Linked DNA regions of Saccharomyces cerevisiae S288C. The gene in region 1 interacts genetically with each later gene. Each region holds a gene or a part of one and is shown on either strand. Other genes may lie near its edges.

Region 1 (4,352 bases):
TTCCATTTTCTTCTGCCATTTCATCTTTGGAGTAACTATTATTTCGCCCCTTTTGTTTGCTGCATATCGCCCCGCTCTCTGCATACACGATTGGATAATGACCAAAGCAAGGTTTAATACGCCCACAGTTAGATATCTATAATTTTAGAGTACGATATTCATCATCATAGGCTGAACCTTGCCTTTCCTTGCATTCTTTATTCCCATTGAGGTATATTTTAAAATTTGTTCGGAGGTAAAGAAGGATAAGCTTTTCTAGTAATTTCCCTCCTCGATCGGCCTCAGATTTCCCGTCATAAAATATACGCGCCATGGAGAGATTTAATGACATAGATGTGCCGCAAAAGCATACACAGCGTATTTTCTTTGAGTATTTAATAGGTAAGCTAAGTTTCGTAGCTCGTTAGTAATATTACTCTATGGATTCTGTGCCACTTCTTCAAACAGGGCGCGAAAACCTTGAAGAAGCAGCGCACTTGATGCCCCTAGTGAGAGTCACGTGACGGTTATCCCATTTAAGGTATTCCTGTTGCGACCCCTCTCACACAGATATATCTTGCGGCTAGAGATAGGTTGTGATTAGGAATAGATCTGTAGATGTCTAGAGGAACGGCTAATGATTGGAAACGTCCGAGGAACATGAAGAAAGACGTAAAGTGGTAGCAATTCCGCGCTTGTAACTTGCGTGGCATGACCAGAAAGCCCACTTCTCTATCTGATTGGAAACCAAGTTTCTTCGGAACAATCTCTGCTTCAAGAACCTGCAATTTCGAAAATTTTTACCAAGCCGTCGGCTCCAATCGCGTAAGTGCAAGAAACTTTGCGTAAGCTGATCTTAGATCAGCACTCAAAGCCTTCATATTCTACCAAGAATGACAGCTTCCCAAGTTATTCTGTAAAGTGTAATCTCGCATACAGTAGTTCAGCGACAGAAGCTTCGAAAACTTCTCTTAATGATGGACTCTTCGACAGTAACAAACTAGCACACCGAAGCTCCCGACAAGAAGGAGATGAACTTCTTTAGGTTCAAGTCCGCTAAACTCTACAGTGATTCTGTCCAGCATTGGCTTTTTTTCTTGAATTATTCTAGCGGGCTGTGGCCAGTATACCAACCGAGCCAAACCATATTAGTAACTCCATTCAGTATAAAGTGGCACTGCTTCATGGGGCTGCGATAAAGAGTCCTAGAAGACCATGCGTTCGAGTCGATCTGGGCACCACTCCGCATCTGGGCATAACCTGAATTATACAACAATAACGTGGGGGAGGGCATCGTTTACGATTGGCTGGATAAGAGGATTTCATAAGGAATATGATGCTACATCCACTCAGGTCATTATTCTCTAGTGTATCAGGCTCCCCTTATGCAGGTTCCATGACTCCATGGAAACGGGCCTGATCTTAATAACCTTATCTGACCATCTGATTGGATGGCCTCGATATTCTTATCGCAGAACCAATGCGCCGGAACCGGCCCATGCATTTTCAGTGCGGTGGGGCAATAAAAAAGAAATAGTACGACCCCACGTCCAATCAGCAGAGAGAAGCTGTTATCAGCTGCTGCGCCGTTTTCTTTTTCATCAGGTACCATAATGAAAATCAGCACTGAAAAATTGCGGAAGAAGAAAGCGTAAGAAGTAGCAGCAAAGGCCGGCTTCTTGTTAAAGCAAAGTATACGTAATCTAAGTAAGAGAAGATTGGAAAATTTTCTGTTTTTCATATATAAAATATACGAGAGTTACAAATGCGTTTACCCATTTTATATTCTCTCACTCTTTAAATGACTTTTCTTATAGCATTGAAAGTTGCTTGATACGTACTATCGCATTATTCTAATATAACAGTTAGGAGACCAAAAAGAAAAAGAAATGTCAGAGCCAGAATTTCAACAAGCTTACGAAGAAGTTGTCTCCTCTTTGGAAGACTCTACTCTTTTCGAACAACACCCAGAATACAGAAAGGTTTTGCCAATTGTTTCTGTTCCAGAAAGAATCATACAATTCAGAGTCACCTGGGAAAATGACAAGGGTGAACAAGAAGTTGCTCAAGGTTACAGAGTGCAATATAACTCCGCCAAGGGTCCATACAAGGGTGGTCTACGTTTCCATCCTTCCGTGAACTTGTCTATCTTGAAATTCTTGGGTTTCGAACAAATCTTCAAGAACTCCTTGACCGGCCTAGACATGGGTGGTGGTAAAGGTGGTCTATGTGTGGACTTGAAGGGAAGATCTAATAACGAAATCAGAAGAATCTGTTATGCTTTCATGAGAGAATTGAGCAGACACATTGGTCAAGACACTGACGTGCCAGCTGGTGATATCGGTGTTGGTGGTCGTGAAATTGGTTACCTGTTCGGTGCTTACAGATCATACAAGAACTCCTGGGAAGGTGTCTTAACCGGTAAGGGTTTGAACTGGGGTGGTTCTTTGATCAGACCAGAAGCCACTGGTTACGGTTTAGTTTACTATACTCAAGCTATGATCGACTATGCCACAAACGGTAAGGAATCTTTCGAAGGTAAGCGCGTCACCATCTCTGGTAGTGGTAACGTTGCTCAATACGCTGCCTTGAAGGTTATTGAGCTAGGTGGTACTGTCGTTTCCCTATCTGACTCCAAGGGTTGTATCATCTCTGAAACTGGTATCACCTCCGAACAAGTCGCTGATATTTCCAGTGCTAAGGTCAACTTCAAGTCCTTGGAACAAATCGTCAACGAATACTCTACTTTCTCCGAAAACAAAGTGCAATACATTGCTGGTGCTCGTCCATGGACCCACGTCCAAAAGGTCGACATTGCTTTGCCATGTGCCACCCAAAATGAAGTCAGCGGTGAAGAAGCCAAGGCCTTGGTTGCTCAAGGTGTCAAGTTTATTGCCGAAGGTTCCAACATGGGTTCCACTCCAGAAGCTATTGCCGTCTTTGAAACTGCTCGTTCCACCGCCACTGGACCAAGCGAAGCTGTTTGGTACGGTCCACCAAAGGCTGCTAACTTGGGTGGTGTTGCTGTTTCTGGTTTAGAAATGGCACAAAACTCTCAAAGAATCACATGGACTAGCGAAAGAGTTGACCAAGAGTTGAAGAGAATTATGATCAACTGTTTCAATGAATGTATCGACTATGCCAAGAAGTACACTAAGGACGGTAAGGTCTTGCCATCTTTGGTCAAAGGTGCTAATATCGCAAGTTTCATCAAGGTCTCTGATGCTATGTTTGACCAAGGTGATGTATTTTAAATAGTCTAAAAGAAAGAAAAGAGGAAAGTTCATAAAAAGTTCTTTCTTTTTTTTAAATAACTTAGATAGATAATGAGATAAAAGAAGTAAAAAAACGGAATCGTAACGCAATTAATTAATTAAGAAAATTGATTATCGGGAGAAAAAAATTTTATTTTTTATTTTATTTTCTTTAAAGTACATATATTTGAAATGATGACATGTGGAAATATAACAGAGACAGAATATTTAATTTTATGTATGTAAGCATCGATTGGACACCAGGCTTATTGATGACCTTACTCGTCCAATTTGGCACGGACCGCTTTAACTTGCAAGTAGTTTTGTAAAGCATCAACAGACATTTCCCTGCCCAAACCAGATGCATTGAACCCACCGAAAGGAACTGCGTGGTGGAAATCGTTATAAGTGTTTATCCAGACCGTACCCGCATTAACTCTATCAGCCACTTTTAAGGCGGTATTAATATTAGAGGTGTGAATACCAGCAGCCAACCCGTATTCAGAATCGTTCGCCATGTTAATGACTTCGTCGGCAGATTTGAATTTGGTTACAGTGACAACAGGGCCAAAGATTTCCTCTTTGACAATTCTCATGTCTTCCTTAACGTCACCAAAGACAGTTGGCTTAATGAAGTAACCCTTGCTACCTAATCTTTCACCACCGGTAATCAAAGTAGCACCTTCATTCTTACCAATGTCAACGTATTTCAAGATTTTGTTTAGTTGCATTTGAGAGGTTTGTGCACCTTGGAAAGTAGATTCATCGAATGGGTCGCCCACCTTGATGGATTCAGAAGCGGCTTTGAACTCTTCAATGAATTTGTCGTAAATAGATTCTTCAACATACACCCTTGAACCCGCACAACAGACCTCACCAGAATTGTAGTAGATACCAAGGATAATGTTTTGCACGGCTTTTTTCAACTCGGCGTCCGCGAAGACAATGTTTGGTGATTTACCACCCAGCTCCAAAGTCACTTTTTTCAAGCCTGCGGCTGCGGACTGGTAAATGTGTCTACCCGTAGCCGTGGACCCTGTGAAGGCAACCTTTTTGATTTTTGGATGGTTTGTAATGGCCTCACCCACAATCTTACCAAACCCGGATACAATGTTGATC
Region 2 (8,045 bases), on another chromosome or scaffold:
TTGCGCCTTCTTTTGCTACAGTTCCAGCAGCTTGGGCCAGAAACTCTAGGGCGTTCTGCATGGAGGAAAGTTCAAGCTTCCACTTCATCCCTTCTGATTTAAATGATTTTTCACTGCTAATCCCTTTTCTTGACAAAGGTACATCCGATAAAATTGGGCTCGTTGAGTCATTTTGTATCTCTTGCTTACTCTTACCTAGAGATGGCAGACTTATTGCATTAATCGAATTAGGAGGCAAGTCGTTCGAAGTTCCCTTATTAGAGCTAAAAATACATTTTTTTAGCTCCCTTTTGCAACGTGCACACGGTGGGTCGTGTGGGTTATCAACCGGACCAAGATCACATTTCACCTTCCTTGATCTGCAGCTGATGCAAGCTTGGTAGGTTCTTCTCCGTTTTGGAAGTTCAAATGCTGCGTTTCCCGAAGGCCTTTTCTTAGCAGACATAGAGGATAAAGCAGTGCTTAATGTAACCTTATTATGCGTGGATCATATATTCCCACGACTAACTTGATATTATTGCTTTAATTTATTCTCGCTCTTTTTTCATTGGTTAGTTACTATCTTCATTTATCTCGGTTATCATCGGATAGAATAGTGTACTCTCGTTGATTCCGAAAATATTAAAAAAAAGCCTTCATGTATTACTAAGAAGGACTCATAAAATTACAAATGCAATACTTGATGATATATATAATAATAGTAATGGCGTGAGCCTATGTGTATTAATGGGTATCAATTTTTGTGATCATCTTTTGTTGCAAGCGCCCCTTCCAGCAGCGTTTATTGCACAGTCAATAATCATTTTTCGCTATATTTTTGTCGTTTGATGGTTCTGTTGTTTTATAACTTTCGACATTCTCTTATAAAGTTCTTCGTCTAAAGCATCCAGCTCCTCGATATGTACATCTGAAACACTACCATTGTCGTCAATATCCTCTATTTCTAAATCTTCAAGATTAGAGAAAAGAGTCTGATTTGGCTTTGGTAGTGAAGATTCTGTGTAGCGTAATGTGTGAAGTTTAATCGAATTTGTATGAAGGGGTGTGGTATAAGCGGTACTTGGCAAACATGTCTGACTCCCTGTAGAAAACTCATTCGTAATTTGATTTCCAGTATCGGGATCATCTGTAGTACATGATTCAGTGCCTAGTCCATGAAGTTTAGTTTCGCACAAATGGTTCTTGTTATAGTTTTCAATAACTTCGTCTGGCAAGTGAAAACTGTTTGACTCTTCATTGTCAGAATAACTGTCGTATAATCGAATATCACCATTTTCATCAACATCTAGAATGCCTGATATGGACTCCTCATCATTCAAGAAGGCTTCCGTAGCATCTTGGTTTTTGTCATACACGCAGTCTCTTACTATACTGTCTATTCCCGAACCATCATCCCCATTGGTTTGATCAAAATCGAGGGGGATTGCGTCCCTGTACAATAGATCACCGTCATCATTAATGGTATAATGTAATCTGTGAATAGTATTATAGACTGTGTTTTCGCCAGTCACAATATAATGATCATCTACCGCAGAGTAAACACTTTCATTTTCAGATTCTGGCGGCTTTTCATTATAAACTTGGTTTCCAGAAGAAGAGCGGGAAAGCTCGGTACTTTCAAGTTCCCTCTCATTATTGAGGCTTTTCCCTATGCAGTTCCTTGGGTGTCTTTTCAATAATATATTTCTATGACGGAAAGCAAAAAATGCAACGAATAACCACAAGAGTACGCCAATAGTTAAAACAATCAAAAAGATGATTATTTTTACAGCATACTTTCCTGCAGATGCAGAATCTGTGAATGAATTGATAAAGTCATCCAAAGCTCCATACTTGTAAGTTCCATCTATGTTTTGGGAATTTCCTTTTGAAGAATCCAAGACGCTTGATGAGGTTAAACTAGGGACATAACCACCATCTCCAGAGCCATATAACGTCAATCCCCCTAATGGGATCCCACTATCTATTAGACCAGCTAAACTTCGCAGTGGGGTTTGAGGATTGCTATAAAGAGTCGAATTTTCATCAAGGATTAATTGCTGAAGATATGTTACGGCTTCTGTTGGAAAATATACCTCTGCAACTGATACAATGTATGCCTTAGAAGAGTCTACCATGGGAACAATCTTTTTCACCGCTATTGAGGATGTGTCGACTTGTGGAGGATGTAAGTCCTCGGTTGACTTCGTGGCATTTTTTTTCTGCTGGTTTTTTTTTTTCTTGACAACTGATAATGATGATATGGATTTTGGGGAAAGGGTAGTTGTGCTGCTCCCAGACCGGTATGAAAGAATAAAAGTGGATAATTCCCCAATACTATTGTCCAGTTCTGATGAGGTGTTTGAAAAGGGATACTTCAAAACGAGAGGTAAAAAGTTGAAGATTTGAGCCGAAGATAATGGATTTTGAACCAAAAATACATAATTCAAAGCGGCCGTGAATCCGATGGTAATTAAAGTGTGGTTAATGGGTTCCGATACAGCGACGGCCGGTTCAATTGCATTGGGAAGTGAACCAGTGATTGACGGATTGAATGATGCGGTAGTGGGGCCCGTTTCGGATGATTCCACTATAATAGCGGTAGGTAACCATGCGTAACTATTTGGAGAGGGGTACGGAGTAGTAGGATAGGTAGACAAGGCAGGGGCTGTGAATACTGAATTAGTGCTTGCCTGAGTTTGAACTGCAGTCGTAGCAGGTCCAATTGAGATTTTTGTAAAAGACCGAGAATATGACCCACTGGTTTCAGAAGAACTTTTGTATTGCGTCTTTGTTGTGGTTAAGCCGGTTTCCTCGCCATTTTCGCCCATGGTTTTCGATACTTTCCTGGATAAACTTTTCGAATCAACCTTTGTATTTGTGGAGAGCGATGGGTTAGATGAAATATGTGAACTTTGTAAAGAACCTACAGAATTCCTCCCTTCGGATTTTTCAGACTGACTATTTGCTCGTAATGTTGATGTAAAGCTTGTGATTCTTTCTTGTGTGTTTGAAACAGATTTACTTGCAGGTATTGTTTCTTTTGAAAGTTTTATTGAAGATATTGATGAGGATGAGTAGCCAAATGAGGTTGCACTTTTTGACGAATCGACAAAGTTATGTGATAGTCCAGTCACAGAATTATGAGAACTTGGAATAGATAAAGAATATGCGTGCGAGCTACTTGAAATTGTAGTTATCTCTGTAGGAGTAGCGGAAAACTTTTCATTGTCTGGTTTCGCCGCGGAAGATGTGTATAGGAAATTCGAAACAACTGTGGATCTGCCACTGGTCTCAGTATTCTTGTTCGCCGTATCGTATGGATTTTTTGTACTGCTAGACAGCTGGCTCTGTAGTGAACTAATTTTAGCTGAGTTTTTGGGGCTTGTTATGCTTGCTTGGGTCGATGAAATTATCAGAGAAGTTTCAACCAAATTCGAAGCTGAAGGGTTGAAAACGGAAAGCGCGCTTGAATGTATTTCGTCATTTAAAGTTGAGCTTGTAGAAATTTGCTGAGAGACTATACTTTGGATTGCCATCGAAGTCTGCAGTAAGAAATCCGTAATCCTGGACAATGTGCTATGTATTTGAGTTGGTGCTATTGTGGATGTTGTTGAGTACCGCTCAGAAGAAAATTCAAACGCATAAGCAGATGAAAAGTATGTGTAAGTAGAAGAGGTGGGTAAAGAAGTAGATGGGGAAGGTGAAAATTCATATGTAGCAATGGACGATCTGGAAGCAGAAGATGATAGAGAGTAAACAATATCATATGGAGAGGATGAGGAAGTAGATGACATGGCGACAGAAGCAGAAGGTGAAGGCGTGTAACCGGATGATATGGCAGCAAAAGTTGATGGAGAGTAAACAATATCATATGGAGAGGATGTGGAAGTAGATGACAGGACAACAAGAGCCGATGGTGAAGACGTGTACGTCGAGGATACTGCAACAGGTGCCGATGGTGAAGACGTGTACGTTGAGGATATTGCAGCAGGTGCTGATGGTGAAGACGTGTACGTCGAGGATACTGCAACGGGTGCCGATGGTGAAGACGTGTACGTTGAGGATATTGCAGCAGGTGCTGATGGTGAAGACGTGTACGTCGAGGATACTGCAACGGGTGCCGATGGTGAAGACGTGTACGTTGAGGATATTGCAGCAGGTGCTGATGGTGAAGACGTGTACGTCGAGGATACTGCAACGGGTACTGATGGTGAAGACGTGTACGTTGAGGATATTGCAGCAGGTGCTGATGGTGAAGACGTGTACGTCGAGGATACTGCAACGGGTACTGATGGTGAAGACGTGTACGTTGAGGATATTGCAGCAGGTGCTGATGGTGAAGACGTGTACGTCGAGGATACTGCAACGGGTGCCGATGGTGAAGACGTGTACGTTGAGGATATTGCAGCAGGTGCTGATGGTGAAGACGTGTACGTCGAGGATACTGCAACAGGTACCGATGGTGAAGACGTGTACGTTGAGGATATTGCAACAGGTGCTGATGGTGAAGACGTGTACGTCGAGGATACTGCAACAGGTGCCGATGGTGAAGACGTGTACGTTGAGGATATTGCAGCAGGTGCTGATGGTGAAGACGTGTACGTCGAGGATACTGCAACAGGTGCCGATGGTGAAGACGTGTACGTTGAGGATATTGCAGCAGGTGCCGATGGTGAAGACGTGTACGTCGAGGATACTGCAACAGGTGCCGATGGTGAAGACGTGTACGTTGAGGATATTGCAGCAGGTGCTGATGGTGAAGACGTGTACGTCGAGGATACTGCAACGGGTACTGATGGTGAAGACGCATAGGCAGAAGGTACTACAACAGAAGCCGATGGTGAAGACGTGTACGTCGAGGATACTGCAACGGGTACTGATGAGAAAGATATGTAAGCAGATGGAAAAGGAGCAACGCCAAAGTGAGAGGAAACGGATGCAGATAAGGATGGGGAAGAATAAAGGGAAGAAGAAATATAAGTCGACGAGGAAGTCGCATGAACAAAGGTTGAATGGACAGAGCTGTATGGCACTGTATTGGTGCTTGAAGTTGAAACAACAGTATCCGAAGCACTGCTAACTATAAAGTTTGTCGTGGAAATCGAAGATACTGCGAAAGTGTTAGATTCACGGCTTACACCTTGACTTGCCTCTGAAGATGTTTCGGCAGTGGAAGAAGTGGCCGGGCGATCGACAATCAGTTCTTGGTCAGGATAGTTGCCAGCACTTAAGTCATAATATGTGGAAAGCTCTACTTCACTCATACTAAAACTATCAATTGATGTAGTTTGCGTTATGCTAGAGGGCCGGGATACTCCAACAGCCACTCGGCTGCTCTCAGAGGTTTCAGTTGACGTTGTTTGGCTATAAGAAGATGAAAAGCTGGTAATGGGGGAGCTAGATGTCTTGTCTGCAGTCGACTCCCCTCCAGAATAGACGGTTGAACTTGAACTGTAACTTTCAGAGAGCTGGGATTTGCTCATGGCATATTCTTCTTCGACTGAATTTTCAAACGATACAGTGTTGGAAAAATCTGTTTGTGTTGATTCACTACTAAAGCCATCTATTGTTGAAGCTGCCGTTATGCTGGAGATTTGTGAAACTCTGGTTACCATTTGTGCAATTCTCGTTGTTTCACTGATACTGGAAGTTTGAGCCAATGTGCCTTCTTCTTTGGAAATTTGAGAATCTGTGGTTATTATTGGACTTATTTCCCTCGGTACCGCTGAACTATCGGATGTGGATATTATTACGCTACTTGAGGATTCCGAGGAGGTTGTATCGCTATCTGACTCCGCCACGGACTTCGGATTGTGACTAAGCGTTTGTGATATTTGTGATTCATCGCTATAGGACTGCAAAGGGGTGGGTACAATGCTACTACTTGGTGTCGCTATTTCCGTAGACTTTTTTACTGATGACATCGTGTCAGAAGTTTGCGTTGTCGTCGTCACACTAATATACTGGCTGGACGTACCAGTTTCTTGTTCATCCATTATTGTTGTGCTTCCACTTTCACCATATTGGCCAGCCATTGTGGTGGTTTCAGAGCTTGATGTTATTGCATTCTCTTTGTTGCTAGATCCGGTACTGGATATCGCGGATGTTGAATATGAGGGTGTGCTTTCTATTCCATTATTGTATGAAGTTGAATATATTGTATCGTTACTATAGGCCTCGATTGCATTTAACAATGACACCAGGAGTAAAATTTTTTTTATTTTCAATGAGACCATCTTTATACATTCTCTGTTTCTGACTGTTGACTGCGTCAGTTGAGGAAAAAGATATCGCAAAAATTTCAATAATGTGGGTGCGGAATCAGTTAGTTACTGGTTAAAGAATGATAATAAAATTGATGATATGGCAATTGATTATAAACGGAAAATGTTTACAAACAAAGTTAGTGCTCTAAGTTGTAAACTTTCTCTTGATTACAATGCAGGAAGCAGTACAGCGAAATATCCAAACGAATGAAATGACTACAGGTGCCTACGAGGGACACTGCTTTTAAATCGCTGTAACTACTGTCTTTGAATAAGCCCTCCAATTAACTAATCTAAATATTCCTAAATTAGTTAAAAAAATTTTCTGCAACCAAACGGGTCAGAAAGCGAAATATCTTTAGCGCGTTGTGGAAAAGAACAAACTGCTATTAATAGAAAGTCTAAGACTTTTGATAATAAGAAACGAATACTTGAGTGATAACGTTGTTACACCTTTTAAAGAAAAAAACAAAAGAAATTGACTGACAAATTTTGTTGCTACCAAATAAAAACATTAAAAATAACGACAACTGCAGGACTCGAACCTGCGCGGGCCAAAGCCCAAAAGATTTCTAATCTTTCGCCTTAACCACTCGGCCAAGTTGCCTTAATTTGTATTGTAATCTGGTCTTCAGAAGAGTAATGATAGTGTATAACTTTTTTATGATGTATAATATTACTTGCATTATTATTCTTCAGATTTGTTTTTAAACAGCGTTACTTTGTAACATGAGATTGTGTGTATCAAACCAATTCCTGCTTTAAACGCATCTAATTGATTAAGTCCCCTGAACAATCAGCTGAGGTCAGAGATCATGCTTCCAGCATTCATTATCACATGGATCTTATATATTATGAAGGTATGTAATATTCTGTGAGTCATGTCTACAAAAATAAATTATAACAAGTTGTTTCTTTTTTATAGACTTCCAAATCTCTATCAAGAAATCCTAGTATGAATATTGTACATAATGTTATCACTTTGATCAAAAGCGAAGTCTCAAAAGTCATCAGTCGGTATTTTCCGATCATAAGATATTAAAGGTACTTCGTTCTTCTTATCAACAAAACCTGGCGCCCGTGAATCATTTAGAAATTTTGGAAAAGCAATATTATCAGGACGTTTTAGTTGCTGAAGCCATATAATTGTCTATTTGGAATAGGTCATTTTTTTCTTGTAAAAAATGATAAGATGTTTTTGGAAGATGTAACTTGTTTCTTCTGAGGTGTGGCAGTATGTTGTGAGTTTGGTCTTTTCCGTGAAAACAACAATCTTTTTTCCCCGAAAGAAAGGTTTTTGGATGATTCTTCAGCACCATTTAAGCCTTCCGACAGTTTCAATGCTAAATGATAGTCTGCGTGCTCTTGAAGAGCCTTCTGGTCTGTAAAAGTCACCTGGTATTTACAACATTCCAACTTCGGAGTTTTCTCGTCAGCTTTCGAGCTGGTAGTTTTTTCCTCATCTTCCTTGCCTGCTGAGCTTTTGAAAGTATGGACCTGATTGCCAAACATATCTACAACAGTTTTTTGTAAATCTATAATATCGAAATTAGTAATTGTCATACTTAGTTTTGTTAAAGGGTAATAACTTTTGTTCTTTCCTTTAATATCAAGGTCCGTGACAAATTTTATGCCTACTTTTAGGAGTTCGTGACTCTGGAAATTGATGCCCTTGTACGCAACTGGACCTGATTTTCGATATACTTCGTAGGATTTTGTTTTTAAAGATATAGATACTGTTCTTGGTATTACGATCTTGTTATACTCCTGTTCCAGATCCTGAATCCTGGACGTAAG

Evidence for each region. A genetic interaction does not mean that the proteins touch.
Region 2: mutations in GDH1 (region 1) and HKR1 impair growth when combined (synthetic growth defect), as found in Saccharomyces cerevisiae (one large-scale study listed by BioGRID).

What each region holds. Positions count from the first base shown.
Region 1 is NC_001147.6:1,040,559-1,044,910, reverse strand, and holds GDH1 (glutamate dehydrogenase (NADP(+)) GDH1), read left to right. Parts: upstream 1-1,868; coding exon 1,869-3,233; downstream 3,234-4,352. Other genes in the region: YOR376W (uncharacterized protein), read right to left, coding at 1,352-1,720; aldehyde dehydrogenase (NADP(+)) ALD4, read right to left, coding at 3,512-4,352. UniProt on the Saccharomyces cerevisiae protein: Catalyzes the incorporation of an ammonium ion into alpha-ketoglutarate to form L-glutamate, the major route of assimilation of ammonia into an organic form in yeast.
Region 2 is NC_001136.10:1,304,440-1,312,484, reverse strand, and holds HKR1 (Hkr1p), read right to left. Parts: upstream 6,219-8,045; coding exon 810-6,218; downstream 1-809. Other genes in the region: ARO80 (Aro80p), read right to left, coding at 1-445; RAD30 (DNA-directed DNA polymerase eta), read right to left, coding at 7,413-8,045.